4 linked regions of the Drosophila melanogaster genome follow. The protein of the gene in region 1 interacts with the protein of each later gene in a pairwise test. Each region holds a gene or a part of one and is shown in the gene's direction. Other genes may lie near its edges.

Evidence for each region.
Region 2: the proteins of CG18745 (region 1) and CG9588 interact in a two-hybrid assay, tested with the Drosophila melanogaster proteins (one large-scale study listed by BioGRID).
Region 3: the proteins of CG18745 (region 1) and CG3402 interact in a two-hybrid assay, tested with the Drosophila melanogaster proteins (one large-scale study listed by BioGRID).
Region 4: the proteins of CG18745 (region 1) and Zasp52 interact in a two-hybrid assay, tested with the Drosophila melanogaster proteins (one large-scale study listed by BioGRID).

Annotation. Positions count from the first base shown.
Region 1 is NT_033777.3:7,780,830-7,789,326, reverse strand, and holds CG18745 (uncharacterized protein), read left to right. Parts: upstream 1-3,207; 5' UTR 3,208-3,373; coding exon 3,374-3,488; intron 3,489-4,009; coding exon 4,010-4,153; intron 4,154-4,210; coding exon 4,211-4,422; intron 4,423-4,489; coding exon 4,490-5,063; intron 5,064-5,128; coding exon 5,129-5,385; 3' UTR 5,386-5,484; downstream 5,485-8,497. Other genes in the region: CG18746 (uncharacterized protein), read left to right, coding at 19-613, 705-955; CG18748 (uncharacterized protein), read left to right, coding at 1,484-1,598, 1,660-1,809, 1,875-2,083, 2,144-2,726, 2,786-2,958; CG18747 (uncharacterized protein), read left to right, coding at 5,926-6,040, 6,513-6,641, 6,699-6,931, 7,177-7,771, 8,153-8,337.
Region 2 is NT_033777.3:13,671,897-13,679,679, reverse strand, and holds CG9588 (uncharacterized protein), read left to right. Parts: upstream 1-2,998; 5' UTR 2,999-3,150; coding exon 3,151-3,252; intron 3,253-3,552; coding exon 3,553-3,879; intron 3,880-3,943; coding exon 3,944-4,177; 3' UTR 4,178-4,588; downstream 4,589-7,783. Other genes in the region: Lkb1 kinase, read right to left, coding at 683-930, 988-1,145, 1,207-1,401, 1,468-2,570; Task6 (TWIK-related acid-sensitive K[+] channel 6), read left to right, coding at 7,579-7,705. UniProt on the Drosophila melanogaster protein: Acts as a chaperone during the assembly of the 26S proteasome, specifically of the base subcomplex of the PA700/19S regulatory complex (RC).
Region 3 is NT_037436.4:649,669-657,233, reverse strand, and holds CG3402 (uncharacterized protein), read left to right. Parts: upstream 1-4,352; 5' UTR 4,353-4,469; coding exon 4,470-4,523; intron 4,524-4,661; coding exon 4,662-4,790; intron 4,791-4,957; coding exon 4,958-5,146; 3' UTR 5,147-5,692; downstream 5,693-7,565. Other genes in the region: DNA polymerase Rev1, read right to left, coding at 1-336, 402-455, 518-941, 1,004-1,286, 1,341-2,698, 2,757-2,792; MED30 (mediator complex subunit 30), read left to right, coding at 3,224-4,180; Gale (UDP-galactose 4'-epimerase), read right to left, coding at 6,129-6,650, 6,711-7,001.
Region 4 is NT_033778.4:15,810,404-15,819,318, reverse strand, and holds the start of Zasp52 (Z band alternatively spliced PDZ-motif protein 52), read left to right. Parts: upstream 1-4,401; 5' UTR 4,402-4,590; intron 4,591-8,915. Other genes in the region: CG33465 (uncharacterized protein), read left to right, coding at 1-91. UniProt on the Drosophila melanogaster protein: Regulator of cell matrix adhesion having two related functions, one upstream of Actn organizing the Z line and the other downstream of integrins regulating assembly of integrin adhesion sites.

The DNA of each region.
Region 1 (8,497 bases):
ATATTTTATAAATTTTAGGTACCTAGTCAAGTGGAGTCCCAGCGAACTTTCTGCTGTTTTCCCTGCCGCTCGTCGCCACTCAGTATGCGACTTTCTGTTCCACAGAGTGGCTTTGTGCCAGGACAGATCGTGCCGGTGGAGGTGATGGTCTCCAATGACAGTGGTGTAGCCGTGGAGGACATAACCGTAAAACTGACTATGGTGGTGATTTACTACAGTCAACCCCCGTCCGCGGACACCAACAAGGACCGTTTTGAGATGGTCCTGAAAACAGGCGGAGGTGTGTCGACCAAATGCCGGCAGCAGTTTACCTTCGATCTTAAGGTGCCGCCAACTCCGCCAACCTGCTTTAATCTATGCAGCATCATTCAGATCGGCTATCAGGTGGAAGCGGAGGCCAGAGTTAAAGGTTGTCATGGCGGCCAGTCCCTTCACATGCCCATAACTATTGGAAGTGTCCCGCTAACGAAGCAACTCCAAAAAGAACCAAGGACTTGGGGTGAAGTTCTGCCACCCCAGCAGCTAGATGCGAAGGCTTTGATTTTAATTGGCAGCGAACAGAATGGAGAAGCACTCGGAAGCCCCAATCCTTGGGCTGCGGATCCTTCAATTGGTGAGTAAAATAGGAGCTTTAAGGAAATTCATACAAAACTCCATATTCGAATTTAAAGATCATAATTCAAGGAATCACTTATTTATTTTAGCACCGCCGAGTTATGCTGAGGCTAAACACATCTCCCCGGATCCGCACAAGTTCTCGAAATCGAAGAAAAAGTCTCAGAAAAGAGGTGTAAAAGGATCACAAGAGAGGAAAGCTGAAACAATTGTGTTTTCACCCTTATACGCAGTCTTTGATTTGTCAAACCAAGTGGACGAAATGACTTTGAGAGCAAATGAACCCAAGACTGATGGCGGCTATGTCAATGAAGGTGTAGAAAAAAGCACTTGGCTTTAGAAGGGCTTAAAAATGAATGTACCCACTCTGTAAATAATTAATAAGTAATCGAAATACAACAGACATGACAATTACCCTGTGGTTGAACGCAAACTGCGGGAACTTTTCGTCGACCTCAGTGAGCAATATTTGCTGAGTTGTGCGATATCTTATCGATGAGTTAATATATTTATTTGAGTGAAATTGCTATCTTCAGATGCGAGAGCCTCAACTCATTTGGGGGCACTTGTTTTTACACCACAAATATAAGTATCAGCTGTTTTTGGACCTGATAATTCAGTTCTCATGTTAGCTGGTTACGAATGATCTATTTATTGTATAAAAAAATTGTAGGGGGTTTTTGGGTTTACCAATAAATAGATTTATGGGTGTACTGATAAGATAAATTACCAAAAGCTCTCCGTTGCACAAAATAAGTGGTAAGAAACTTTTTAGTTCAGTTTGATTGCGGCAATTGAAGGGAAAACATCTTAACAATTAACGACAGACTTAAATTCATTAAAACTTGTGCTTTAACCATAAAAAACCATGGGAATAATTTGCCAAATTCTTTTTCACAACAACACGCAAGGGGTTTTTTACGCGGGCCAAATGGTTGCTGGTCAAGTGACTCTGAGCACTGATAAGGCGATTCAAATCAAAGGTAAGTACTCAGTTGTGATTGCGATACTTCATATAATTCTCGCAACATTTTACATATTAAGCAATTCGACTTAAGCTAAAAGGTTATGCAGAGACCCATTGGACCGAAAGCAAGACTGATTCGAATAACAAGTCCACTTCAGAGTCGTACAATGGATTTGAGAAATACCTTTCCAGTAAAGTTTATCTTTTGGGTTCCGAAATTAGCCCTGGTAAAATATTGAGTGATAATTTGTTATTGAAATTGGTCAAAATTTCATTTTATGTATTCGCAAAGAAATGGCTTTGGAGCCGGGAACTAGGTCCTACAATTTTGCTTGTCCAATTCCAATCAATTGTCCCTCATCGTTCGAGGGGACTCATGGTCGTATACGTTATATGGTGGATGTCAATATCATTCAGCCGTGGAAGTACGACAGCATTTTCTCAAGAGCTTTCACCGTTATTCAAGTGATGGACATAAACACCTATAACTCTGTTTCACAGGTAAATATAACATGAAACGAAATTTTGGAGGTCTGCTATAACAATGTAATCGCTTTTAAGGTTCCCGTGCAGGCCAAGACTGAGAAAACCTTTGGGGTCTGGCCCTTCCGATCGGATCCTCTAACGCTGGAGCTGAATTTGCCGCAGACTGGCTTTGTGCCTGGTCAGACGGTACCCGCAAATGTTCTGATTGGTAACGAAAGCAAAATTCGGGTGCACGAAGTGAAGGTTGGACTATCAATGATGATCACCTACTACAGTGATCTAAGTTCAGGTTCCAAGTGCGAGCGCAAGTCCGTGGCCAAGTTAAAGGCAGATGGAGTTTTGAGGAACTCCCGGAAAATGTACGACTTCCAACTGATGATACCCTCTACTCCGCCTTCATGTTTCCATCTGTGCCGCATTATCAAGATCGGATACCAGATCGAGGTTGTGGCCAAGGTGAAGGGCATGCATATCAATGGAACTCTGATAATGCCGGTGACTATTTGTGGTGTTCCGATATCGCCGTCAGCGGTGCAATATACGCCGCAGAGCTCTGGGCCAGAGGCTCCAGAACAAAGAGCTTTGACTTTGATTGAGGGAGAGGGAGCTTTTGCTCCAGCTGCTCCCCCATATCCCTGGTCAGAAGGATCCACACTATGTAAGCTGTCCTTGTTTTAATATGTCCATATCAATTATGTAACCATACGATTTTTATAGCGCCACCGAACTACGCCGAGGCCATGCATTCCCATAGTGACTCTGAGAAACAGTCAGAGTCGGGAAATGCGCAAGAGAAGTCTTACAAGCCGTTGTATCCTGTCTTCGATTTGTCTACTTCAACTGTAGAAAAGAGCAAGGAAGCGGCTTTGGATAAAGAGGAAAAGAAATGAAGGCGGGCGAAAAAACTATTCTACATTTGAGAACCATTGGACATCCCATCCCACGCCTGCTTGTCAAGAAGTCCTTGGGATTTTTCCGGAGATATGAGGGCTATTTGCTGCTCGACTGCATTTGGCAAAATGTATAATTCAAAATTGTGACAGCGATAAGATAAAGTTTTTCTGGCCATCGCTACCAATATAGAACAACCGCAATGTTTGTTTTATTCTCAGTTGATTTCTGGCAGCCAAGTGGGCATGTGGGTGCTATCGTCGCGAAAAGCGGTTCCTTCCACTCTGTCTGGAGTTCTCGGAATTTAGGGAGTAAATAACTGAACATTGGCATTAAAATCAAATCAGTCGTGTTTGCAGCGGCATCAGAGTAGGATCGGCCCATAAATACACGATTGCGGTTACAATTACAATTATGACTGTTACCTGTGAAATTGATTTCGATAACAATCCCCATGGCACCTACTTTGGGGGCGAGGTACTCACTGGCAGAGTTACGTTGAAGCTGGACAAGATGAAGTTGGTAAAAGGTGAGGGGCAGTTGATTTGAGATACCTTTGGAATTTGACAATATGCCATGAGTCATTCTTATCTTATCGTCCAACTTAAAAGTGCGGTTGAATGTTTTTAAACGAAGATTTAGTCCGGTGACTCATATATTTATAGTGAGTAGAGAACCACACGTGCGAAATCTAATGTCTACATGAAGGTGTTTGGCGAACATACACAAATGCATCAATGATAATATTTGCGTTCGATAAGATTAAATTATTTTTAAATAATCAATGGGTTTCGCATTAATTAATATTAAATAGGGGTGGATACATATTTGACTTTTTCATATATACAACGATTGCTTTTGTAAGTTTTTATGGATATTTCATGTGAATGCATAACAGTAATTCTGTATGATTAAAAGATTTTAATTTGTCAAAACCATAATCATCGTTTAGATGACTTAAAAAACAATTAAAGAATAAATTCAATTCGTTACAGTACATTGAGCTAAAATACCTTTCTAAGAAATACCTTATCAACTTCTTCTCCGCAGCCATCACCTTGAATATAACCGGATACGCAGAGACGCGTTGGATTGAAAGGGTGACCACAAACAGAAGGAGGAGACGTCGCACATTCTGCGGCCGCGAGGATTACATAGCGTCCAAAACATTTTTGGTGGGATCCAATCTGAGCAGTACGTAAAGCTCCATTTAGGCAAGAAAGTCCATCTAATTGCTAATCATATCTGCAGGCCAAGTATCCATTGAAGCGGGAATTCACACTTACAACTTCGTGTGCCTGATTCCCACCGAATGTCCTTCGTCCTTCGAGGGATCACACGGCAGGGTGCGGTACATGGCAACCGTAACCCTCGTCAGGCCCTGGAAATTCGATCAGAGCTATACCCGATGCTTTACGGTGCTAAAAGTGATGGACTTGAACTTCGATAGTCCACTGCTAAGGGTACGAATCAAAATCAAACACGAATACATATCTGTTAGAACCTAAGCTAATTGAATATGTTATGTAGGTACCCGCCCACAGTGAAACCTCGAAGACCTACTGCTGCTGGCCTTGCCGATCAGATCCGTTGGCCCTCCAACTGACCGTTCCACAGACAGGATTTGTACCTGGCCAGAATGTTCCCCTTAGCGTGCTGGTCACAAACGATAGCCACATTCCGGTGGAGCAGCTCCTCATTAGTTTTGTGATGCTGGTGACATACCACAGTAAGCCACCTTCGATGCCCAATACCACGTCCGAGAGGTTGGTGGTAAACACCTTCAAGGGGGACGCTGTGCAAAGGAACTGCAAGAAGCTATTTAGCTATGAGATCAGAGTCCCGGCCACTCCGCCCACCTGCTTCAACCTGTGCGGCATCATCCAGATCGCCTACCAAGTGGAGGTGGAGGCCAGGGTGAAGGGTTGCCACAACAACGAGGTTGTCACCATTCCGCTGACCATTGGCAGTGTCCCTCTTGCACAACACGTACCAATCCAGCCTCGGGGTTTCGTCCCCCAGCTGAATGTTAATGAGCTGGCTGTTGAAGAAGTAGCCACTGCTCCAAACTCTTCAAGTCCATGGTCTGTCGACGCATCCATTCGTGAGTTTACTAGAATCCATAAACTAATTACAGTATCAATTTATGTTTTTTGTTGGTGTTTTTAGCTCCGCCCAACTATCAGGAGGCTGTTCACATGCGCAGCACGGCTGCAACGAGGTCAGACGACTTAGACGACCCGGAACCAGTACCGCCCAATACTCTCAGTTTGGATGGCGGTGCTTATAAGCCACTCTATCCGGTCTTCGACATACCCAGTCCCTCAGCTCCGCCGCCGACGGATTATACGCAGAATTATATGGCAGAGAGGGCCTTTGTCAATCCGGCCATGGATGTGGACAAAGACAAGGGAACGTGGCTATGAGAACGAAAATAAATACTATACTAGAAATGTAAGGGCGATAAAGCATTTGCACACAAGGCAAAAGTTCCACCTAACACTTTATAATAAACATTTTATCACAATTCCAAGACTGGTACAGGGTGGAGCGATTTTTGAAATTATTCGAAATTATATATATATTACCATATGTAGTCTAAGATTTTCAAACACGACGCTTTTCTTTCCTCTTGAAAACCCCTCGATGAATGCTGGCAATAACTTCCCCAGTGCCAAGGTCTCGACAACCAACTCTGATAACAGACCGAAAACCCCAAGTGAACGTCCGAGTAGTTCGCAAGGGAACTTATTATCGACTCTTATACAGTTTGGACTACGATTCCGTATCGTTCCCGGTGAAATCCGAATCCGACATCGGGTCCAAGTTATGGTTCTTATCGCTTATCTAACGACGCGGTCGCACCGCAAGCAGTCCAGAAGTTTTGTACTTAAATTAGTCGCAGTGAGTTGCCCCATAACATCGGTTTTAGCTTTTTCGCGCTCGGACATTTAATCTTGGGAAAAATGGTTGTTACGTGTGAGATCAGCTTCGATAATAATAAACATGGTACTTTCTACGCCGGTCAGCTGGTAAAAGGATGCGCGACCCTTAAATGTGACAGGTCCAAGGAGGTTCAAGGTAATTATAGTAAACGTTTAATAAACTACATTGAAAACAAATCCCAGAAGTTCGGCTAATTTCTTGAAGTTAGCTCTTCCTAGCGGCAGTATTATAAATATTTGCTCGATAACGATGTGTGTGTATGTAGAAATTGTATATTTTTATGACGACACTGAATTTAGCGGACATTCTTAGACGCGGAATGTGTTCGGTTGATTGATAACACTTTGAAGTGGCTTTGCTTTGGTATTATTTTAATAACGTGATTAGGAGGAAGGTTAGGCCCATCGCAAAATTTATTTTGAATTATATAAGGAATATTTTGATTTTACTGACAATATTTAAATTCTCCTCAAGTATTTATAACAGTTCAGTTGAGATTAGAATTGGCTTAACTATATTGTGCACTCCCAACTTTATTAACAGATTATATAGACACCATGATAACACTATATCCTAACTCTTTTCTTTATTTTCTCTTAAATCGCAGCTGTGCTGCTCAAGGTAGTCGGATATTCTATAACCAAGTGGAGCGAAAAGAGTCTGGGCTCGACAAAACTCTACGTGGGCCGGGAGGATTATCTATCATCAAATACTTATCTCGTGGGTTCCGAGCAAAGTGAGTAGAAACCTCAAAGATGTTTGCTTTTATAAACAATTTTATCTCCCAAAAAAGACAACACTCACAACAACACTCACAGACTCACTATTGAGGCTGGGGTTCACAGCTACAACTTCACCTGCCAGCTGCCCTATCAATGCCCCTCGTCCTTTGAGGGTCGCCATGGATGCATCCGCTATATAGTGAAAGTCCTGCTGATCAGACCGTGGAAGTTCGATCAGGCCTACACAAAGGGCTTCACGGTTCTCAAGATGCTGGATCTCAACTTTGACACTCCCCAGCTAAAGGTTAGTATGCAACTAGCAATGATGTATTTTGTGAAATATAAAATACTTCATAATACACTTAAAATGACTTTTTTTAAGTTGAAGACGTACAGACATTTTAGGTACTTTTAATGAACTATAGTTATATTTTACTTGTGGATTCAAAGTAATCATACTAAGATAATGATAATTCAAATGATTCGGTGTTATAGTGATACAAAAATTATATTTAGGTTAATTATATCGTATCGATTCATCCATTACAGTCCGCTGCCCACAGCGAGGGTTACCGCACCTTTTGCTGTGGTCCATGCAAGACGGATCCTTTAAAACTGGAGCTGCACCTTCCACAAGCAGGCTACGTTCCTGGCCAGAAGATTCCCGTGACCATTGTGGTAGTCAACAACACTGCCGTAGCCGTCTCCGAAATCCGACTCTCTCTGGTAATGCTGGTGAGATACTACAGCGTCAGTCCTGAACACTCTCGAGTGGAGCGATTAATAATATCGCGAGCTAAGGGGGAATCGGTGCTGAAGCAGTGCACCCGATCCCAGACCATCGATTTGCCCGTACCCTCAACGCCGCCCACCTGCGTGGAGTTGAGCAACCTCATCCAGATCGCCTACCAACTGGAGGTTGAGGCGTTGGTTAAGAGTCTACGCGAACAACAGCTGATGGTCATGCCGGTTACCGTTGGCACCATTCCTCTGGCGGTTTCGGGCATTGTGGTTCAACAACCTCCCCGGCGGAGCGCCCACTACGAAGGACCGGATTCCAGAAGGAATCCTCCCGACGAGCTACCCATGGTTACCGCACTTGAGAGCTTGCCCAGCGACCTGGCATCCAGTGCTGCTGATTCAGGTGAGATCATGATTTTGCAGTCTACGTGCCAATGAACTTGTAATGATTGACTGCAATCTTATCAAATTCTTTAACGAACTGAGCACGAAGTTTTTGTAGACATCGCCTATACTTTCAAAACATATGCCAAACGCAAGCTTCAAGTGCCATTACTAGGTAATAATAAAATGGCTAACAAAAGTTCAAAAGAAAATAATAAATAATGTATTACGGCTTATATAGTCACTTTGAGTAGAAGAAAAGGTGCGAAACTTATTTCCAGATTAACAAATATTTTTAAATTTAAACGATAAGAAAAGCTTGCATGGGTAGTATAACTTACTTTATATTTTATTTATAATAGTTATGTTTACTAAACCACGTTATTCTTCTACTTTACAGCGCTCCCCAATTATGAGGAGTCCCGTCACACTCAGCGGGGCAATATCAACGAAGAGGAACTACATGCCTTCGGGAGCAATGAGTTTGCTCCACTTTATCCCGTGTATAGTATACCTAGTCCTACGCCCGTGCTCACGGCAAACGCCCGGAATGCGGGATTCGTCAACCAAAGTTTTGTCAAATAGAGCATTTTAATTTTGAAAAACTTATCACTAAGATGTTTCAATTGGCAATACTTGATTGGATTCATTGTAGACCAAAAACCAAAAAAAATAAACTTATTTAAATGTCCATACAGTACTCAATTTATTTGTACTCTTAAGATACCTTTGACCCTCCTCTCAC
Region 2 (7,783 bases), 5.9 Mb from region 1:
CATGGAATAATGGAGCGTCTGCGAGTGTTGAGTGTGGAATTTGGAATGTGCGAAATGTGCGAACTAAATGCAGTGTTTGTATTTTGATATTCAATGGGTTCTTTTATTTTCGTTTCATTGGTTTGTAAAAATTAAAATCTCAACCTAGGCCTTGCAAATACTGTCCAGCAGTTATTGTACCGACGGCGCCTGAAAATCGCATCATTCGTCGTGTGTAGTTTAGAATATAACGAAGCCAACAAACAATTTCACTTGAACATATTTCTTTATGTGTGCGACGCACCAATGGGCACCGTCTCCTCCGGCAATCCTCGGCTGCCTTCAGTACATCATAATATATTAACGACTAATTTACGCATTCATTTGTTTCATATAATACACAGTATTGTCACATGGATATATAGCTTTCGTGTCGCTCCCATAGCTCCCCAATTCCACAGCCAACTCCGCTGATGCGGGCTGTTGCTGCTGTTGATGCGACCGCTGCTGCTCCTGCTGCTCGGGCGGTACGAGGTTGCGCCTGAATTTCCTACATGATTCTATGGTTACAAATACTTGGCGAATGTAGGACAACAGAATAAAAACGGGAAAACAAAACCAAAAAGTTGCTCACAATTTGTTAACAAAGTTATTCCTTTCGATAAATCTTAGCATCTATGTTTAGTGGAGGCATCTAAGGCGCCTACGAAGTTCGGCAGTGGCTCAGCTTGCGCACGGAGATGCAGGACGTCAGCTTCTTGGCGCGCCTCTTCAGTGCCGATCCCTTCTTCTTGACGGGCGCCTCCTCTCTGCTACCGTTGCCCAGCGAATTGCTGGCGGCTGCGGCACTTGTGGAGGGCGGTTCGTAGGTGTGGCAGGCGGCTAGGGCTGCCGCCGACTGTTTGGCCCGAATTTCGGAGGCAGCAGCTGCCGCTTGGCGGGCGAGCTCCTCTGTAAAGGTAACCATGAAAGTAGTTCACTCGGCATTAGATTGATGTTGGTACGTACGATTTACGTCGTGTTCTGTAAAGTAGACATCCTCCTCCTGGGTGCCGTAGTGGTAAGCTTCCAAGTAAGGTATCACCGTGGAGTTGCGGTATTTGTCACCCTTCAGGGGGGGAATGGGTATCGGTGGGCCGGTCTTAACCGGTGCGGATCGGAACCAACTAAAAGCAGATTATAACAATCAGTTATCATGAAGTGCAATCAAGGAATATTCCTACTTACGTGTCGTGGCGTATTTCCTGCAGAGAGAGGCGTTTACTGGGATCAGCCTGAAGCATGCCGAGAATCAGGTTGGCAAAGTCCGCGTCCATTTCGTATAGCCACGCGGGCGCCTCCCACTGACCTCGCCCGATGTTCTCCAGCAGTCGGTAGATATTGTCGCCCTCGAAGGGATACTGTCCAGTGGCCAAATTGTAGCTGCAAATCCGTTAGATTAGTACAGTATATACATTTAATACATGATATTATACAAGGAAGGCTTACAGAGTCACTCCGCTGGACCAGATGTCCACCTTGAAGCCGGCGAACGTCTCGTGTCCGTTGGCAATCTCCGGTGGCTGGAAGGCCGGAGAACCTTGGCCCGTCGTGCATGTGTCGTCAGGTGCGAACAGATCCAGTTGCTCCGCCACACCGAAGTCGGATATCTTCAGCGTTTGATCCAGGGAGAGCAGCAGGTTGCCTGGCTTGATATCCTTGTGGATGACCCGGCAGCTGTGCAAGTACTCCAGGCCGTCGACTAGCTGTTTGAAGTAACCGTGCGCCTGAAACAGCGGCATCCGCTTGTCTGGCTGATAGTCAATCATCTCCTGCAGCCCGCCGACACAGTACTCCATGACCAAGTACATTTTCTGCTTCTCCTCGTTGTACAAAACATCGACCAGCTCCACGACATGTCGATGCTTCAGCTGCTTCAGCAAGGCGATCTCGCGCGTTACGTTCTGTTCGCCGTTGGGAATCCGGCGCAACTTCCGCTTAGTCAGGATCTTGACGGCCAGGCGGCACAGGTTCTCCGAGTTCATGGCCTCCTTCACCTTGCCGTACGATCCCTCGCCGAGAACATCGCCCATTATGTACTTGCCCACCATCTTAATGCTCTTCTTTTTCTGCTGATAGATGATGTCCTGGCTGTCGACGCGATTGAAGAACATATTACCCATGTCCAGCGTCACGCGATCGAGCGTCTCGATCTCGTCGTCGTCCAGCCACGTGACTTGCGGATGTGGCTGGTCATCGAGCAGCAGTTCATCCGGATTGTAGAAGCCAACGCCCGCGCCCGCATCATCCGCTTGGGCGGTGTCTTCTTTGAGCTCCACAAAAGCGTCGTCGTCCAGATCGGAGGCGACGTCATAGTGAAAGTTCTTATTGGCCAGCAGTACGGTCATCTCGTCCTCAACAGGATCCGGCTCCTCCTCCTCCACCTTGTGCTGGGCCCCTCCGCCCGTGGGATGATGTAGATGATGATGGTGTGCTGCCTTGACCTGTGCCTCCATGGTGGTCACAGTCATCTGGCCTGTTGCTCCTGCCCCTCCTGCTTCTGCTCCACCGGCTGCTTTACCTCCGACTGGCCGAGAGCTAGAACATTGCATAAACCTCCGCGGAGCCCCAATGATCACATATCGCAGGTGGCAGCCCCACTCCGGCGGATGGGAGTGGACGGTGTGGTCCCTGTGTTGCCTGTGGCTGCAAAACGTTTGGTTAGTTCATGGCTACACCTAATCCTCACCAGGCACACACGCGCTTTTATCGCTCACCTCTCGAAATACCTTTATTTTTGTAATCAATTCGCACACACTCGAATTGATTGCCGTGCGATTTTTCGAGGTCCCTCGTCGCCCGTCGTCTATTCTGCGATGTCCGCTGGAAAGGCGTTCCCCCCTTTCGTTTCACCGTCGTGCGATCTGTTTCTCATAGAAATTTGTGAATTCCTGTGTTTACTCTCGCCGTTCAATTTGTTCTTTTCCCCTTCCGAAAAATTGTTTAACAATTAGTTTTTGGCCAAAGTAAGTTCGCCGCAATACGGTCACACTGGTCGCGGGCAACCAGGGCTGCACGAGCACTGGTTGTTGTTGCTACTGTCGCTGCTGAAAAAAAAAAACATTAACGAAAAATAATAAATTTGTATTTTTCGGGACGAACGCTGGAATAACTCGAATCGAAGTGGAAGTCATGGCCGCTGGGACGACGACCAAGGAGCGCCTGGAGCGTCTGATTAACGCTAAAAAGCAGCTGGAGGCGCAGATCAACAGAAACGGACAGATCCTGGCCGCCGTAAGTAAATTCGCTTGCTCATCCGGGGATACCCTGCATCCGGGATAGGGTATGCACACTGTGGCAAGCTGTTGGTGACGCACCACCGTGGATATTCATGATCGCAGGTTCTTCAACTTGGACGGACCGCCAAGCCAAATGTTGATATATTCAATACCCTACTGTTGGTTAGGGTATGTCCACTTGGGCAAGCATTACAGCATTATCCTATGCTTTGGTGTAGGGTATATACACAATTGTATTTTGAGTACATTCTTTTGTTTATGCTGTATAGCATTGATAATGATATCTTCCTTCCAGAACGACAATGTGGGCATGAGTGGACCACTGGTGGACGCCGAGGGTTTTCCGCGCAACGACATCGACGTTTACCAGGTGCGCCTGGCGCGACAGACGATCATCTGCCTGCAGAACGACCACAAGGAGCTGATGAACCAGATCCAGACGCTGCTCAACCAATATCACAGCGAGATTGCCACCACAGATCCGGAGCTGGTGAACCGCGCCTCCGCTTTGGACCTGGACAGCGACCGTTCACCCGGTGGCGCTAATATCACGGATCTTGCTCCTGCACGCGCCATCGTGGTGGTCAATCTGGTCAGTCCCGATTCGCCCGCCGAAAGAGCTGTGAGTGAATGTAGTAAACAAGCGAAGATCACAGCATTGAGATGGGCCATCTTTACCATTTAAGGGTCTCTGTGCCGGCGATGCCATCCTCCGCTTTGGCTCCATCAATAGCGGCAACTTCAAGGGAGATCTCGCCCAGATTGGCGAGCTGGTGCGCAACATGCAGAGCCAGAATGTCCAGCTGAAAGTGAAGCGCGGCGAGCAGCAGTTGGACCTCATCCTGGTGCCGAAAACGTGGAGTGGACGCGGTCTCCTGGGCTGCAACATCGTCCTGCCGCCCGAGGCGATGGATCACTGATGTAGCTTTGTGTTTAAGCTTTTTTCGAGTTGCCTGTGCACTCCTGCCCTGCACTTTAGTTATCAGCCCATCTCTGCCAGGCCGACGAACATGGTTGCTCCAAATTGTGAAAATTGATTTTTGGACGCGATTTCAGGGCAATTTCAGCTGGAGTCATCTCGCTGACTGACAGCCGGGTCAGTGGGCCAAGGAGCAGCAGTGGAGTGACCCAAGGTGCACAGGTGACAGGCAAAAGGATGATATTGTGATTCGGTGGATTCTGTCGACATGACCGATTTTTTTTGCATTTAATTTTCATTCAATATGAAATGATGCGTAACAAAATGATGAGGCGGTTTTACTAACAAATAAGTTTTTATAGCGCTTTTACTGGTAAATAAAGAAGGATATATAATTAAAAATATAAAAAACAAATTTGGAAATTATTATCTAAAAGCATAAACGTTTTTGCAGAAGACTATGGTTTATTCTTCTTATGAACATTTCAATTTAACAGAGAAACAAATTCTAAAGAAATGTTCGATTTTAAAAGTTCTGTTTTTGAACATCCAGGTACTAGCCAAGTTTTCAACCAATGCTCAAGCGCTTAGTCAGGGCACAATGGCTTTAAAACTGTACTCCTTCTTAAGATAAAATTATTTATATATCTGACGTGAGCAATTTAATTGAAAGAGTGTATTGTTAATCAATTGGAATAATAGTTTTTATGAGATGGCAAAGTCATTTTATTTGTTTCGTTTTTTATATCAGGTTTTTTTTAAATTAAATGCAACAGTCTGCAGCCCAGACTCGAACCAAATTCCGTAACAGAATTCGCTTAACCGGTTAGGACACATGTTAGCTTAACAGTGAGAGAGATTTTCCGCGAAGAGAGCGAATTTGGCAGGACGAGCTTTCGCCCGAAAATCTATTTAAGCAACACGCAGCGTAAAAGTTTAAAACTTTTTTCACCCGCGCCGCAGCATCCGATTGCCACGATAAAAAAAAGGATAATTACAAATGCAGTGAAATTGTTGAAGCAAAGCGACTGGCGAATAACAATTCCAATTGCTTGCCAAAATATACAAAAATTATCCCCGCACCAGTTTGCTTGTTTTGTGCGCCGGAGCAAAGCTGCCGCAGCCGTCGAATCCGAATCGAGAGCATTACGGATGCGATTTCGAATCCGAATCCGAGTGGCGACAGGACGAAAGTGCGGCCCAATCGCCGTCAAATTACGCTAGTGAAAAAATCGTGGGGCGCCGCTGAATTTCTGTGCAATTAACGTGAGCGATTGAAAGGATCTGCCTGCTGCCAACAACGCGACCGATGAAAATTGCGAGCCGTTCGCGTTCGTCCTGTGCGGCGGAAAGGATGTGTATGTGTGCGGGCTTTATATAATGAAACACTTCCAATGCGTGGACCCAGCCAGCTCTCGTCCTTCTTTTCATCTTTTTTTTCGCGAACTGGAGTGGCAGGATAGTGTCACTGTCATTGCCAGTGCATGGGAATTGTGAGGGAATCTGCTTGGTGGTTGGGGCTACGAAAGCTGCGCGAAATAGCACAACAAACAGGCAGCAGCGGGGAAACTAACAAAAAAGTTAACTAAGGGCGGGCATCCTTTTCCTGTGTGTGTGTGTGTGTGTGGTGTGTGTGTCTGTGCGTCGCTGTGGGGCAAAGGAAAACCAACCCCCACAATCCGCACCGAAGGACCAAACATTTCGGCTGCTACTCTCGATGAATTAAAAAAAGCCTGTGTCTGCGCTGCGCTTGTGTGCGTGCGTACACTTCAACGCGCTTCGAGCCCCACACACACACACACACACACACACAAACACAGGGACACATTCACACACACACACACTTGAATAATTCAGAGACACTGCAATGCTGCCTCATTGTTCATCAATAAATTGGCGTTAGATGGCCACACACACTTACACTCGAAGAGAACTTCAAGGAGGAGCTTTCATTTTCAGTTTTCGGCGTCTCATTATCCCGCGTGCTAACTGAATTATTCAACAATTACAGCTGAGATTTCGCAGCCTCACACGTTGCCAAAAAGTGCCAGTTGTGCCAGTGTGTCCACAAGTCCTTACGCTCATTGGGCGAAGGACACATGCAAATGAAAAATTCATTTGCATGTTTGTGTGGTGGGCCAGTGTGTGTGTGTGTGTGCGTATGTGTGTGTGTTAGCTGAGATGAAAAGTACACACAGCGCCGGTCATCATGGTGGCACAACAATGAAGTTCAAGTTGATCCTTTACGCGTCGAAAAGGATCAGAAGTCCTTCGGCAGTTAAATGTACACATTGAAGAGCCATTTGTGGAGTTTCAATGCTGCAGAACATCATATCCTTGAAATATGTGCCTTAAAGTATGCTATTTTCCACAGAAAACATTTAGTTTCGAAGTTTCTTTGAAAAGGTGCTTAAAAGTATGCTATGACATATGAGAAAGCAAGAAAAAGATATTAATACCACATCTTTTTGTGGGAGTTTCATTGAAAATCCTTAGATATAACATTATTGATCCCTCATATTGCAAAATCACTACCTTTTATAGACAACACTGGGATGATAGGCGAAGCTCCATAGGAGCAACCCAGTGTAGTGGTAGCGTGGTATTGATGATGACAGATTAGTTGCAGTCGTTATTTTTAGCCCGGCCATAAAAAGAAAGACCCTAATTCGAGTCATTTCACGCAGGAAGGACACGGCGGCAGAAACTACAAGTGCAGCGCGATGGCGCCCGCCATCAGCAGGAGCACCAGCACCATCACCACCACCACCACCAGTGGCACCATAATCCTTGAGAGCAGGAGCAGCGCCGCCGATGCCGCCACCCGATGAAGGATTGCAGCATGGCCCGCACATGCACATGCACTGGCAGCAGCTCTAGCACACACACACCCACGTCTACGTTCACTGGCAGCATAAATAACGCAAGGACATGGACGGCGCAACGAACGCGACGAGGACAAAGGCCCACGGCCTGTGACAGAAATAAACGCCACCATCGCCTCCTCGCCAGGAGCTAACCGACTAAAAAAAAAAAAAACGTGAACCCAGCACCAGCACCAGCACTTGCTCCACTCCCGTTGGCCCCCAGTGATATTATTTTTAATGCAATCAAAGTGCTAAGTGAGTTTGCCGAAAAAAGAAAAGCAGCAGAGACTACGAAACTAGAGTGCAGCCGTCGTGTCGGCTTGGGTCGTAACCCAATTTGGGTAGTTTGTCCTTTGAGCGTGAGTCGCGGCAGCCGGAAAGGACGAGCAGGATTCATATGGACGACGGCAGGTGCAGCCCGCTTAGCCAGGTGAGCAGCAGCAGCAGCCAGGAAAAGCCCTGCAAACTGTACCGCAAGCGGAGGCGACGCCACTGAACAAAGGATCAACTCACCCATTACTCGCCTAAATGAAGAATGAAGAAACAAAATGTGCGCACGATATCCTTGATCGTGTGTACATTTACCTATCTGCTTGTCGGCGCCGCCGTCTTTGACGCCCTCGAATCGGAAACGGAAAAGCGTCGTTGGGAGGCGCTGCAAGGTGAGTGCGAATCTCAAGTGCCACAGCACGGTGCACTGCACGAAAAGGTTGAGTTAGTATGAAAAATAAAGCTACTGG
Region 3 (7,565 bases), on another chromosome or scaffold:
GCGGGCTCACATTGGTGGTGACATATGGATTTAATAAAGGCGGTGAGCGGAGGGTCGGATATTGTGGAGAACGATATCCATCGTACTCGGCAATGCAGAGGTGTTCCTCCCTATTGGCAATCACCTCGAGGCGTATATCCTCCGGCAGCTGAGCCAAAACATCCTCATCAAGTTTTGGTACAAGGGATAATGGCCGAGTTATCGGCTTTGAAGTTCCTCTTTGACTCCTGTCTTCGGTTACCGATTTCCTGCTCACCGCTGCTGCCGTGAGCATACTCAAAACATTCCTGGGCTCACGGGGCTTAGGTTTATTTTCAAACACGAGTGGTTTGTTGACTGCAGATAGATGATATACAGGTCTTAAATAAGTTGGGAAGTAAATTATTTTTCAGCTTAAATACCTTTATCATCGCCTATGGACTTATCGCCAACTGCTCCTTGGGGTATTGGTTTATCTAAAGGAAACGTGTACGACATTTTAATAAAATCGGTATACAAAATTGGCCGGATTAAATACCTTTCCTCATTTCGGACATTTTGCCGAACATCTCCTTGATATTGTTCTCCTTCCGAACTTCGTTGGCATCCTCCAGCCTAGTGAGATGTATGCCTAGCCCACGCAATTCGTCGGGCGGTATATCGGCGTCTTTCATCAGGTCGAGGACCACCGTGGTGATTACATTTACATCATCCGTGGCATATTTGATCAGAGAGGACTTGTTGATTATATCGCAAACTCCGTGGCCCATGTACTTGGAGGTTTCGACTGGCGCTTCGGCGGCGCGCACCATTATCTTCAGATTAATCGATCTAGCTTTGCGCCTTATCTCAACCAGACGCTTAGTAACCTCTTCGCTGAGCTGACACAGAAATTGTTCGCACTCGACCGAGTTGGTAAAGCGAATACCAAAGTTCATTTCGGCAGAAACTGTTTTGCGGATCTAAACGAAAAGTACGGTATTAGAAACAAATATGTGGGACGCAATAAAATCTGCACACCAACCTGCTCGTAAGCCAAAGGACGATCATCAATTCCTCTGCAGTTCTGGAACAAATTCTGTCCAAGTTTCTTGCCCAGCACTTTTTCCATCTTCTCCAACGTTGTATTCTGAACATCTCCACAATTATTCAGTCCCGCCTGTTTGAGCTTATGGCTTATGCTGCTGCCCACACCGGGCAGTAAATCCAAAGACATCGGCGCCATATAGGCCAAAATATCATTGCTCGAATCCAACAAGAACTGGCCATTCGGCTTGGCCTCCTTGGTGGCCATACGCGCCAGCAACCTATAATATATATAATATATATTATAATTGTAAAAGGCTTATTTGGTCTCTCACTTGTTGCCTGCCACTCCTGCTGAGCACGGACATCCCGTTTTGGAGTAAACCTCCTGCCTGAGGTGACTCACAAAAGCCATCACATCTACATTGAGTTCGTGTGCCAGATCGGTTAGCTCCACAAACATCTCGTCGCAACTCACAGCCTCGATATTTAAGGTATACTGAGCCACTGTGTCGTACAGAGTGAAAGCCACCTCCTTGTAGCCTTCGAAGTCGTACGGAATCGTCTTTAACTCCGGGCACAGCTTCAGGGCCTGGCCCACAAACATGCCATTGCGGATACCCTTTTCCCGCGCCTCGTAGCTGCAGGAGGCGATCTCCGAGAGCGACATTTTCTTGTCGAAGCCCGAGCGCACCTTTTCCGCCTTGTCTCCATCGTGGAAATGGTGCTCGAAGCGCTGGGCAAAGAGTTCCAGCTCTGCCTTTCGGTCCGCCTGCGGATGCACCGGTACATCGGTGGCTGCGTTACCTCCCTTCGAGTGGGTCACCGCAATCGGCAGCCCACGAAGCTCAGGACGGGTTCTTAGGCCCACGGACACAAAGAAGCAGTCCATGTCAATGTGCATCACATAGCGTTCCAAACAATTGTGGTGTGAATTAGCAAGGGACTTCAGTGTCTCTCTTTTGGGAAAGCCCTGGGTACCATGCTTCTGACGCAACCGGCAGACATACTGCTTGAAACCCGCGCCTAGAGTGGCGATGTGATGCAGTCGTGAGTTCTTATAGAATTCACTTAAGAAATTTGGATCCGCGGCTGTGCGAGCGGTGGTGGAGTTATTCGAGGTGGTGGATAAGTTTGTGATCTTGCTCTCTGATGCACTGGCCTCCTTTTCCGGCGAAGTGGCCACAGCCTGCTGCAAATTCTTGAGAATGCCACCCAACTCCATTTGCGTTTCATCTTTTGTAGAGTCTACTTCCACTTCCGCTTTATCTTTCGGCGGCTCCACATCCGATTTGCTCTCATTTGCGCCGTTGTCTTTGGGTTTCCCAAAGATGAGCATGGGCTGCGATGTCTTCTGGTTCGTGTACAGCAGATAGGGTTTGTAGTCTACTATCTTCTTTTTCTCCAGACAATCCACCACCCACTTGGCGCTGATGAACTTGCTGAGATTCATGTTCCTGACCTTCACATCGGGCAGAACGGAGGCTATTATGTACGTCGTGTGGCTCCTTTCGTAGTGGTGAAAGGTCCCGCCGTGCACCATCATAATACGCTTCAGTTCATCCGCCGAAGGGTCAGTCCGGCCGTTCACAAATATAGAAATTCCTTGGAAGAGGTCCGACTTGCGAAATGGATCGCTGGCGGCAGCGAACTGCTCCTCAAGTTTAGATTTCTTGGCTTCGAAGTAGCCGCCCTGAAAAGAGCAGGTTTGGTTTATGTACAATGTTTTTAGCATTTTATCTACATCTTACCCATTCACTAAAACCATTATCCTCATCGCGGGTCATTTTTAATCGTTTAAAAGCATGAAAAAGCCAAAATTGAATTCCACCAATACCGCTCAGCTGACACACCTATGTTCATTATTTTTGCGCGCATGTGGCAACTCTCTTTTCGCATGGACGCATTCCTAACGAGTTTTGCAGGGGGCTATTATTACCATTTTGGATTTGACTAAGAATTTAAATTTTAGTAATCACCAAATAAAAACTTAGTAAAAACACTCAAATTTATCTAGTGAAGATAATCTAGATCTAGATCTAGATCTATCATTTAGGATTGGTAATTTAAAACCCGCGACTTCACAGCTGTTTGCGAGCATACAGTTTCAGCGTTATCTAACACTATCCGTTTTGTTTTATGTTATCGACAACAGTGTCATTTGCCAAAGTTTATCGTTCTGCGTGATATTTTGTTTATTTTATAAGAACGTTGCAAAATGTGGAAATACGGTCAAAACCAGGGTAATCAGGGACCATCGAGCGGCGGCGGAGGAGGCGGGGGCCCCAACATGATGCCGATGGGTGGATTTGGCATGCAGCACGGCAATATGCAGCAAATGCACATGTCGCCTCAACATCAACAGCAGCAACAACAAATGGGCATGATGGGCGGCCCGGGTAGCATGCAGATGAATCCCCAAGGACCTGGAGGTCCTGGCGGCCTGATGCCCGGCATGTCTCCGCAGCACCAGATGCAGCAACAGCAGCAGCAGCAGATGATGCAGCAGCAAATGATGGTGCCCCAACAAGGAGTGGGCGTCGGAGTGGGAATGGGCGGTGGTGTGGGAATGGGCGGAGGGGGAGTGGTTCCACAGCAGCAGCAACAGCAGCCCCAACAAAACATGCCCCAGCAGAACATTCCCCAACAGCAACAGCAACTCAATCCGGTCGCAGGAATTCCACCCGGTGGAGCCGGGGGCAGCAACAATATGCTGGCTATCTCGCAGCAAAATCCTCACAAGGAGATTAACATTGTGCAGCTGTCCCGTCTCGGTCAGGAAACGGTGCAGGATATCGCCTCGCGCTTCCAGGAGGTCTTCGCCTCCCTCAAGGGCATCCAGCCCACCTCGCACAGGGAAAACAGCTCCGAGAAGAAGGTGCAGGAGTACTTCCGCACCATCCGGCTGCTCTTCAAGAGGGTGCGCATCATCTACGAGAAGTGCAACGACGCCGGAATGGATTACATGAGCGCCGAGAGTCTGATTCCCTACCGCGATGAGCCGGAACCGAGAATCGAGCCCTCGCTGTGCGATGAGTACCGGAAAGTCCTGCAGGAGAACCATGAACTCATAGAGACCGTCAAGCTGAAGAACAGGCAGCTACGCGAGATCATCGATCGGACACGCATCATCATCTGGGAGATCAACACCATGCTGGCCATGCGGCGCTCATAGGCATAGGGACTCTAGATGTATAATATAGTATAAATAAAACTAAGAAACATTGCCAAACAGCAATCGTAAAGACCTTCATGTTTTTATTTTATATGAAAAGTATATATTTAAAGTCAGCGGCAGTCGCTGGCAACAATCGCATTATTGCTGCAACCTATCGATTTTTCGCCATCGATAAATGATTGCGAGGAAGAAGCAGAGTTTGTTGTGGGCGACAATCTTAAGACGAATTTACCAGCGGAATCTTAGCTAATCTAGCAAATTAAAGTTAGTCAAAGCATCGGTAGACATGGCGAAAATGGCATTCCAGCACCAGGCCGGCACGGCGATGGAGTGCTTGAGCGTAAGTTGCGAACGAACTAAACCTGGCTCACACGCACAGTCGCCTGTGTGTGTATAGGTGAAATTGGGTCGCTGGAGCAAAAAAGACAAGCCACTTTCAAATTCGAGTGATTGATGAAATGTGACTCACAATTCCCAGATTCCCATCACGCTGCACAAGGAGAAGGACTACGACCAGGAGGGGCGCGAGATCCTCAAGTGCGGCTTCAAGATCGGCGGCGGAATCGACCAGGACTACAAGAAAAGCCCTCAGGGATACACGGATTATGTGAGAAACTTGGGAAACACTAGAACCTAATTCCGGGCATAAAAGAGAGCTTCAATCTTAAAGCTAATAATTATAGCTCTCCTTGAAAGTCGGGGAATTTAGTTTTAGTTCGGTATCTTAAGAGCAGTTTCAATGTTACAATGTTACGTTTTCCCCTTTGAAAATAGGGCATCTATGTGACCGAGGTGCACGAGGGCAGTCCCGCCGCCCGAGCAGGTCTGCGGATCCACGACAAGATCCTGCAGTGCAACGGCTACGACTTCACCATGGTCACCCACAAAAAGGCCGTGAGCTACATCCGGAAAAACCCGATACTCAACATGCTGGTGGCCCGCAAGGGCGTGACCTCCACATAAGTGGTGCTCGGAGCAGGGTCTCCACAGACTACAGCAGTATTTAAGCGGCATTTAAACTATCCCCTCCACCGCCCCTCTGGGCTACGGATCTCTTTGCCTCCTGCAACCTATGCGAATACTTAGAACTACCATATTATACATATTAATTCATTACGTATGCATATCGCACACACATGTAGCCAGACGTAAATGTAGCACCTAGTAATGCTTCTTGTTGAATTCGATTTCTTTGCCTCTCCATCACTTGTTGAACGAATCGCCAAGCTCCTAAGTGTAAAACAGATTGCCAAATACCGATACAAACAAACACTCCCAGAAACAACAGGCTCGAATATAAACAATTTTGTACTTTTATACGTGCAGACCATTCCAAAACCAAACAGAAGCAGCAGCCGAACGCAGAGTTGTTGAAAGAAACATACATTCATAGTACATACTTGTGATAAATGACTTTAACTGTGCAGATATGTGCGAAGAAGGCGCATCACTTAAGTTTAAAATTGAGTTTTTAATGTTATATTGCATTTGAATAAATGTTTGCTAAATAAATGTGCGAGTTAGACGTCTTCTTGTAACTTTGGTCAGCTTAATGTGATTATGCCATTTTTGATTAAGATCTGACAAATGGTTGATGCAGTTGTGTGTTTATTTTACCTAATGCCAAGTGTAATCTCCCAGTGCCACCTTGTCGGTGACCTTAATTACGTGATTGCGCCAATTGGCACGCGTCAATGATGCCAGCGGTCACCAAACGCGTAAATGACGGTCACAAAATTACATGACAACAGCGAAAAGCCTTTTTAATTACAAAGTACTTTGGATTACATACGCACACTTGCACACATCGAAGTGAGCGAATACTACACGAAATTTGGAAAGAAATATACACAACTAGAGGCAAATAGAAATTGCTACCTGAGCCATTATCAGGCGTAGTAACTCAGGAACTTGCGGAGCGGCAGGAACGTGGCGATATACAGCTCTACTTGTTGGCATACCCGTTTGGGTTCTGGCTCTGCCAGCGCCACGTGTCCTCGCACATCTTGTCGATGCCACGCTCGGCCTTCCAGCCCAGCTTCTTATCCGCCAACGTGGCGTCCGCATAGCAAGTGGCCACATCTCCGGACCGTCGGTCCACCAGAGTGTAGTTGACCTTCTTGCCGGAGGCCTTCTCAAACGCCTTCACCATGTCCAGCACCGAGTAGCCCACGCCGGTGCCCAAATTGTAGGCGAAAAAGCCCGTCTCCGCGATGTTGCGCAGCTTGTCCAACGCCTTTACGTGTCCCTCGGCCAGGTCCACGATGTGGATGTAATCGCGCACGCCGGTGCCGTCGTGCGTGGGAAAGTCGCTGCCGTAGACACTCAGGCTGGGACGTCGACCCACGGCCACCTGTGCGATGTAGGGCATCAGGTTGTTGGGCTCGCCGTTCGGATCCTCGCCAATCCGACCACTGATGTGGGCACCCACCGGGTTGAAGTACCGCAGCGAAACCACTGCCCAACGCTGAAAGAGCGAATTCTTTAGTACAGAACTTATGGACATCAAGAAATGACATCCTCCTACCTTGTCAGACTTGCACAGATCCTTGAGAATCTCCTCGGTGAAATATTTAGTCTTGCCGTAGGGCGATGTACAGTTGCCCGTGGGATGCTCCTCGGTCACGGGCAGGAACTTTGGCTCACCGTATACGGTGGCGCTGGAGCTGTACACGAACTTGAAGACATTGTTGTCGGCCATCGCCTCCAGCAGGACATTGGTGCCGGTCATGTTGTTGTGGTAGTACTGCAAAGGTATGCGGCAGGACTCACCCACGGCCTTCAGGGCGGCAAAGTGGGCCACCATGTCGATTTTGTGCTGAAAGGGATGTAAATATATGTACCTATTAGTTTGGGAAATCCAAATCTGTAATAACCAGCTCTTCAGTAAGCACAAGGATATTGCCTCTTATAAACGTAAAGTGCAGAATTTAATAGCAATTAAATGAAAGTATCACATTGATTTCAAGGTGATTTATTGACAAACAATTATGTGTTCTTTAAATAGCTGTTGATAGTGCTGATTAGGTAAAAAATTCCACCACAACAAATACTGCTCAATCTATTCAGTAATCAGTGCGCGTAAGCACAAAGCTGTGTGCATTTATGGTTGAATAAAAATATGAAAAAGTATCAGCTTAAGATATTTCATGGCTATTTGGGCAACAACGTGCATTTTTATAATGTTCATTACATGTAAATAAACGCTTTGTTTTTTATAAACGACGGTGGTTAACAAAAAAAACCCCTTTGATCGAACATCTCAAGAATGCGTGATAACCTGCTCGAATTAGCGAATTCTCTTGGTTATCAATGGATGTAAACACTGCAATCTGGGCTCCCGACCACCCAGATTGTAGTGTACGTGCCCGGGAGCTGTTGT
Region 4 (8,915 bases), on another chromosome or scaffold:
CCTAATGAGCTACAGTAAGGACGGCATGGTGGTCTACACCTATATACAAAGCTATTTGGATTGGATAATGGATAAAGTTTATTATAATTAAATATATAATAAATAAATAACTATAAAATAAATCATTTCGTAAATATTTTTAATATGATGAAATGAATAAATATAAAATATATCATTCCAAAAATGCAATAAAAATTATCAATGCAAATCTGAGTTTATACTTACGATTTTCTTTTAAATTTATAAATGTACTTTTTGGTATAAGATTGCGGTGATGAGAAGTGCATATTATCGGCATAAATTAAAAAAAAAATTTAATAAAAACTCATTGCTAGCTCCTCATGTTGAATATCTGTTACACCTTTATAAATCATTAAAACAATTATGAATGGTTAAATAACAAATCAGGAATAAATAACATCGATGAACCAGTATGAATGATAAGCCTTATATTTAATATTTATCACATTATGTAGCAAAATGTTTTGCTTATTTTGAAAATAAATAAAAAATAAGACCCAGTCTGCAGTTCACTTCTTTCTATTTAGATAAAATTAATTATATTATCATGTTACTTTTTTTTTACTCAATCCGTAGCTTATAGCTGTGCCCGCATAGGTGGCGCTGCATTTGTGTAAAATGAATGTAAACTATGAAGGTTTCGTAAGTCAACGCTAGGTGTCCAACATACAGTTTAAAACACAATTTTGGAGCCCAGTATGTGAATAGTCTAGGTCCTAAACATAAACTAAACTAAAATAAGCATTGTTAAAAAGCGTTTGCAGGTTATTTGGTTCATCCATAAATGTTTTTTTTTTAGAAATATTTATAAATCGATAAATAGTAAAGCACAGCTGTTTTCATGGTAATACATTTTGGCACACAAAGTACCGTGTACTTAAGCAACAACACACATTTTCATGTCTTTTGCGGCTTATTCCCATGCAATTTCTTTATTTAAGCGCTCATTAAATTGTAAAGCCAAATGCGTCCCCCACTAGATTATATAGTTGGCACATCCTCTTGGCCTCCTCGCACATCCTCAATGCAATTACGCGCATGCCGACAGCGCATGCGTGACATTTTCAGAGTGACTGCGCGATGTCGCTTCCTCTGGCTGGGTTCTGTTGGCCGGTCTGTCTTTGGGCCAGAAGTCCGCTCTGTCGACTGATCAAACAAAATAGCTGGCAAATGATTTACTACCGCTCTCGCGTGCATTAGCCAAAGTCATGGGGCTAGCACTTTTGGTTTCTGTTTGTTCTTTTCACCTCCAGTTGCTGGGAGACGGGGTTTTGTTGGCCCGCTTCTCGCTCTTGGTCAACAATATCACTGCAAAGCAAAGGGCATGAAGCAGGCGATCTGCAAGGCGGCAACCGGTTTCGGCCAACTGCGCAGTTTGATCGCTTTTTTCATGTCTTTCTTTTATTTTTTTTTTTTGGGAGGAACTGCATTTGCTGAATTGTTGCCCTCACAAAGAGTTTTTGCGGTTTGCCAAGAAAGTTACCAGTTTTAGATTTTTAAATTTAAATGTATTTATTTTAATTTGAAGAGTATGTATTTTGTTGCGATATATAGATATTCTTTATAAATCAGCTTTGATAAGCAGGTTAAGTTGGCTCATTCATTACAAGGAAAGTAACTGCATTCAGAAAAGTACGCATAAAAGGTTTAGAGGGTGTGCGAAAATCGCCGCTTTCCCGACTGTTTTGATTTTTGTTTGGCGCTAAAAAGGAAAATCAGACTTTGTGCCCGTCCAGAATCAGGGTGTTGTGTTGGGGCCGCTGTTGTTTTGGGTTGTGTAGCCGTCACCCAGATTATCAGGAAACTGGAGGAACCAGTTTCGGTGCGATGTGGCATGCAACCTAAATATAGAATTGCAGCTCGCCAAAAGTCGCGCTATTTGCTGCAAATTAGCTTGCTCAAATTATTGATCCAGACCAGAAAACTGAATTTATGGCTCGAATGCCATTATCACTGGCTGCGAAATTCATGGCTTATGGTTGCGCCCGGTGTTTGTTTATATTTGCATTTGCTCTATTCGGCTTTTTCTGGCCTTATCTTATCAGCAAGTGCCGCACACGAGTGTCACACATGCACAGGTACAGATACACATAGACTGGCCGATACAGATACGGATACCGATACAATTGCGCACCTTTTGGCCAACCACTTACCTGTTGATTGAGCGGAGAAGAGAGCGAGTGAGAGCGCAGCGTGCGGATGTGTGGGTGAGCGGGAGTATTTGTGTGAGTCGCTCGTCTTACAGTGCGACTCCAAACAACCCGTCGTCGTCGAGATCCCGATCCCAGCCCTCATTCGCTCGAACGCAACGATCGCGCGCGGTTGTATCTCGCAGAACAACAGAACAGAAAGATATAAACCCGGAACGAAAGATATAAGACCAAGAAGTGTCGAGGAACTCAAACGTATTCACTCAAGTGCTCAAAACATCCAGAAACAACTCTCCCGGTCACGGTCCCCCAAACGCTTTTCATTTTCGCAGAGAGAGAGAACGTTACGAATCCGCTTGCGAATCCAACAAGTGCGAGTGAAGGAAGTGTAAGTGTCTTGGCCAGTTTCTTGGCGATTTGTTGTTTGTGGTTCGTTGTTTGTTGTTTGTGCTGGCCTCCTGCCAAAAAGTTTTCAAAAAAAAAAAAAAAAACGGCTCCGCGAAGAGCCGGTTTCGAGCCACAGGGCTCGATTGTGTGATTCATGGCTCCGAAAACTTGACCGTTGACTCAGCATCCCCGAATATCAAAGACAGATTTAAGCAATTAAACCGCATTGGTATAAAAAGCAAAAGTGTTAACCGCAAGTTATTGTGTAACTAACCGTTGTCACCGTTGTCATTAAAACATAAAAACGAAAGATCGCCGAGATGCGGTCTTTAAACTTAATTACGCCCGTATCTCGGTATTTCGTATCTTAATCGCCTGACCGAAATGCGTAATAAAAAACCGCAAGAACAGTGTTTTTTGTTAGTGATTTTGATTGAATTGCGCTAGATTCTTTATTATCATTTTTGCCACTCAACATGATTTAATTAAAAAGCCGAAATGTTTTTTGTCGGCATAGTTAGGTGGCGGGTTGGTTTATTATTATTTGTTTACTTGTTTGCTGTTCTTGTTTAACCCGCCTGAGCTTTTTATGCCACCCGCTATGTGATGTGATGTAGACACAAATACGCGCGGCATAAAACATCCAAATATTATATTATATTATACATATTTATCTACATAGTCGTCCATGTTTTCCTGTCCATTTTTTTTTTGTTTTTTGGTGGATTGGTGGATTGTTTGCCTCGATTCGATTCAATTCGTTTCGTTTCATTTCGCTGCTTGATTGAGCACATCAGCGCTGGCAAAAACATATTTGCGTTTATTTTTGTAAGCTTTGCGCTATGGCTACATTTTAACATATTAATGCTTTATGGCTCACTTTTCATGCACTGGAAATTCAATTTAGGGAAATTTCATTTTAGCGAGAGTATGTTTTTGGACCTGCGATCTTTAAAAGAAGCATGCATTGGGTATGAGGGATGTGTGACCCCGACGGAATGATTAATTGTTTATTGAGAAATGGATAATGGATCGGATGGATCATAGCTCGGATGGAGTCACCACCGCTGATTCACGCACTTAGGATCTTTTGTGACCCAAATTCCCCAGATTATTCGGGGTTGTTGTTCCCATTTAGCTGCACACTTTGTTGTGGTTTTGAGGAAAACAGATCACGGGAAATAGTTCAGCACCTGCACTTGCTTTCAACTTCAAAGAGATGTGCCAAATGTGCGTTTCATACGCATAGTACATTCATGACAAGAAACAATAATATGAGATCATTGAAACTTTATGTATATCTAAAGTATAGATAATGAAATTATCCTACTTAAGGATTTATTTTTTGGGCAATTGTACTTGAGCCCTTCAGCAAATTGTTTATCCCATTTAACTAGATGTAATTATAGGATTACTATAAGTTACAGCCCCGAAACGGACTGATTGCACATGGGCATTTGGCTGGCTGCGCCGTTAAAAGCTTGGCTATGAAAACAAAATACAAACAATTAGCCAAATAACAAAAAGAATAGCCCGCACCAGGAACAACAACAAAACAGTGGGCCACAAAAGCCAGACAGACATTGGCAGCCGTTGCCGTCGCCGTCGTCTGGCGTTTTGTAGCTTTGCGGCTCTGCCGTCGTATCGGTTGGGAATTGAGAACCGACAATGTCTATATAGATGCTATATAGCCAGACTGTGCCACTGCCACTGCCTCTCGCACGGCCCAAAAGCAGCGACGCCGGCAGCGACGACGACTGCGACGGCAGCGATGTGGTTGAAAAGATTTTTGTATTCGAAAACGGCACAAAATGCACATAAAAATTTTCGGTTTCGGTTTTTGCTTTAGTTGAGAGAAAATCGTCGCTTAGTTAACGTCGCCCAAGAACTGAACTGGCAGTGCACCACAAACGTCACGAATATACGAAACCGAGATCCAAGTCCAAATCAGTAAAAATCAAATCAAATCGAAACCGTATCGAATCGAATCTAATCGAATCCCAGCAGAAAGCCACCCGATCGGAATAAATCGGTCAGTACCAGGTCGCATGTGAAATCAGACATTCGGTTAAGTAGAAATCAGCTGGTTATACAATAGCCTGCCGCAATCGATTCGCCAGGATCGCTGATGAATCAGAATCAATATCAGAGACAGTCACCGCCCCTCTCCCTCACCATTCGTCCACTAAATAGTGACTTGTGTGCATTTTGTGAAGGTTAACAACAAGTAAAGTCCCTTACGAAACCGAAGACTCAGCGCGAATAATATAGGCGATTGGTAAATAATTTTCTTGGCACGCCGATCCAGGGAATTTCTTTTGACGCATATATCACATTTGTTGGCCAGAGCACAGATACAGAGATACAGATACGTTGTAGATCTTCGGCTCGTTGAAATTGAATAAAATTATATAGTCAAAAAGCGAGAAAATTTTTAGAAACTTTTCAAGGTGAGTTTATTTATAGCTCCTCGAAATGGCTGCGCGGATTGGATTTGTTTCCGAATACTCTCGCTCAGTCAGTCAGTCAGCGCCGTTCGCCAGCAGCCATCCGCCAGATACAATATCTGCCAGATACAGATACACAAATTGCGAAAGTGCTGCGAATGTGGCGGCCACCACCTCCTGCGCCTCCTTTCTATGCTCGAATTGCTGCGGTTTGGCGCCACAAATTCTGAGACATTTTCAAAACGTTTTGAGCGCTATATAGACTATATATCGGCGACAGCATAAAGCATCGCATATTAATGAAGCCAGACCAGCTCTCTAGGTCGCCTCCTCGAAAAGTGTCTTTCGTTATCTTGGCAATTTTCGTTTGCGATTTTCGTGGCTGCTCTTCGGATTTCCTCTTCGCCTGATCTATTTTCAGCGATTTTCAGCAATCGCTCTCTCCTTTTCTCTCTGCCTACCTCGCCAGCTCTCGCTCACTCTCACTGCCGCTGACATCACGTATACGCAGTGGTTGCTCTCCATTTCCATTTGCCATTTCCAATTCCTGCCAGGCCACCAGCAGTCTGCCTGTGATGTAATTTAGCCATGACCAAAACTTGTTGATACTCGCCCTGTTCTTGTGTCCGTTTATCTTCTGGCTTTCTTTTAGCCTGGGTTCAGTGAACCCCAACAAAACGACGAAATCGATTAATCACCCACCTTGTTATCTAGCGATTAAACTAATGTTTGGTCACCTCACCAATAATAGCTGTAAAGCAATCGCCACTTCGACCGAATCAATCTTACAACGCCTCACAACATCCGTGAATCAATGCCCGATAAGATAGTGGTTCTATAAACTTGAATGAGCTAATAGCCATTGCCACTGACCACTTTTTCGATGAATGAAATGTCTTTGTTTACACTGGGGTTTATCAGTCCAGGGCGGAATTAATTACGCAGAGGATGATGGGTGCACTAGAAAATACACCGAAAACAAAGAGCTGACTGTTCGTTTAATTATTTAAGTCGAGTTCTTTTAGTAAACAGAATTGTATCTAAATTTTTTCTCACTGCTGAAAAATACTAGCAAATTCCTTCTCGGCCGGGAATCGTAAATTAAGGCCGTCGTGGAAATGTAGCTGAGCTCATTAGAATGGCACTTCTCGTGCACATCCTATTCCTATCCTATCCCATTCCGTTCCTGGGTGCGTGACAATATTTCATGGCTTGGCTTCACTTGACTCGGATTCGTGCACATATTGCAACCATCGCGGGGGACTGAGCGATGGGGCAAAAAAGGGGAGACATGCTCTACAAATTTCAAACAGCTTTGCGTATATTTTAATTAGTTCGCTCTCTCATTGGCCGCTTTTGCTTTTTGCAAATTCTCTGCGGTCTCTACGATTGCCACCAAATCATTTCTCAAGAATTTAACCTTCGTGAACTGTCATGGTAGATTGCATTCTCTTTCCTTTTGCTGAGACAAGCACTTCTCTCGTATCTTTGTATCTTTGTTTATTCTTCAGGGTTCGTATGTCACTCAGAGCAAAAGAACAAAAAAAAAAAAAAAAAAAAAGGTGGCGAAACAACGCAAAACCCGACCGATGATAATGATTCAAGAATATTTAAACATACGTTAATGGAAGGTTCTTGCCTGGGAATGGTTGTAGGAGTAGATTGAGATATGACCCCTTTCGACCTTCTGATCTTGAATCTCATATGCTATATGCTATATGGCTTTTAAAAGAACTTCTATAATGAATTTTTAAATGCAGTGCTTGGCTATAGGAAAGAAGGTGTGCTATTTCAGCCAATGATATCATCTCAGCAAAGAAACAATTTCTTCAAATGTTTACTTCCCAATATATAGCATAAATAAATACATTTATTGCTATACAGACTGATACTATTAGCTCTCCTTATCGATTTACTAAGTTATAGTGCTCTGTTATTGCTCCCACTTAAAAAGCACTTGTGAGGTGTGCAACCCTGACCTTAACTTCTGCCAACAAGTTAATCACTTTCGCCTGGCCAACAACTGCGATGGCACACTTTCGCACAGATATGAAATCGCAAGTGGAGGAGGCGAGCGGAGTCGAGCGGAATTACACAATATTCGAGCGGCAATTTGACTAAAAGTAATCACGTATCCGACGCCTCGCAATTACATAACCGCAGTGCGTTGAAAATAAACGCCCACAGACGCGAAATCTTCGACGAAGAAGTGCAGACTCAACGCAACTCGAATTGTCTGAACCCTCCCCCCCATACCCCTTTTTTTTACTTTTTGCTAAATGGGTAATGGGTACCACTGCTGCCACTGCTCTTTCTGCACCACAAACGTGACTGGCAAACAATTTTTGGTTTCATCGCCGCGGCAAAAGCCACAGAAACCCATCGAGAGATTGCGATTGAGTCGGCACTTTGGGATAGGGTTTTAGTGGGGAAACCCGCATGGCATCTCATACCCATGCCATTCCATCCCATCCATTCCAGAGTTTTGTTTATGAATTTAACGAAGGGAAAATATTTATTTTGGCCATGCACGTTGCGCTGAACAAATTATAAAATCTCGTGCGGCGCGCGCTCATAAATCACAACAGCATTTACGTGCATCTCTTTTTCGGCATCGAGATCGAGAATTAATTGCCCGACATTTGGTGGCGTTTAAACGGGCGATTGGTGATTTTAAATACATATGTATGTAAGCCAAGACATTCCGCTCGAGTTTTCCTTGGAAAAATAGTTCAAAACGCTGGCCTTCCGCCCACCGACGAACTAATATTCGAGGGGCATTTCTGCGCCAAGTCTATTTCGATCGACAGCCCCTGCAGACAGACGTCAATGCCAAAGTCACAAATATCAAAAAAAAAAAAAAAAAATATATATATATTTGTGATTGGCGAAAGCGAAAGGTAGGGCGGCATCTCAATGAAAATTACTTTGCCTTAACCCCTGCTGACCAAACTGCAGCTCCAATTACCCCAAAAACGAGAAGAAAATAAAAAAGAAAAACAGCGGTGTGCGTCCGTCACCGAAATAGTTGCCTCGGCCAAATGAATTATATACATTTCTGATGTATTTTTAAAAGAAGAATCCGCCTGTGACACTTGCCTCTGTCCATTACGAAGGCTGACAAATTGTTTGTTGAAACGGGGTGAAATGCAAATGCTAAGCATTTTATTTAGTCTTTGATTAATTCATATCCAACAGATACTTGTTCGCTTGCCAACAGAGCAGGCGAGCGGGCAGTGGTCTTAACAAATTCATTCGGGTGTTCGCACAATGTTCCCAGCATCCAGGAGTCGAGATGGAATCGAGGAGCCGAGGAGAAATCGAGGAGACCAGGAGCCGGGCACTTTGTCAGCCCTAATTGCAGCACTTTGTAAACTGTCACCAGGGCAGGCCGTTCAAAGGGGGCGGGGCAGCAACAAGTGTGTCTCCTCCTGGAGTTCCCATTTTTTGATGGAGAATTATGGCCGCCCGTCCTTTGTGTCGACTTTATCTGCCAGTTTCAATCTGCCGCCTGTCATTAGGCCAAGTGAATAGGGGATATATGCCTGCGAGATATGCTCTCCAATCATCCGAATGAGGAAAAATTTGCATTTCGCAATTGCATTTCGCTTAATCGCATTTTGTTAACCCATTAAAGCCCAGCAATTATGCACAAAAGGTAATTACCAACAAAAAAATAAAACGGCGGGAAAAAACAAAGAGGCAGAATGAAAATAGTTTTCAATTAATTTCATTTTGTTCATTAATGTTAAATCAAATGGCAAATCCATGCGCTGTCCGTCTGTTTCTGCAGTTTTCAGTCCGATAATCTTATTGACTGCATAATGCGTTCGGTCGATTGGATAGAAAAAACATACATACATATGTAGATAGATTTCAGCGAAGAATGTCTTTAAAAATGACTACTTCT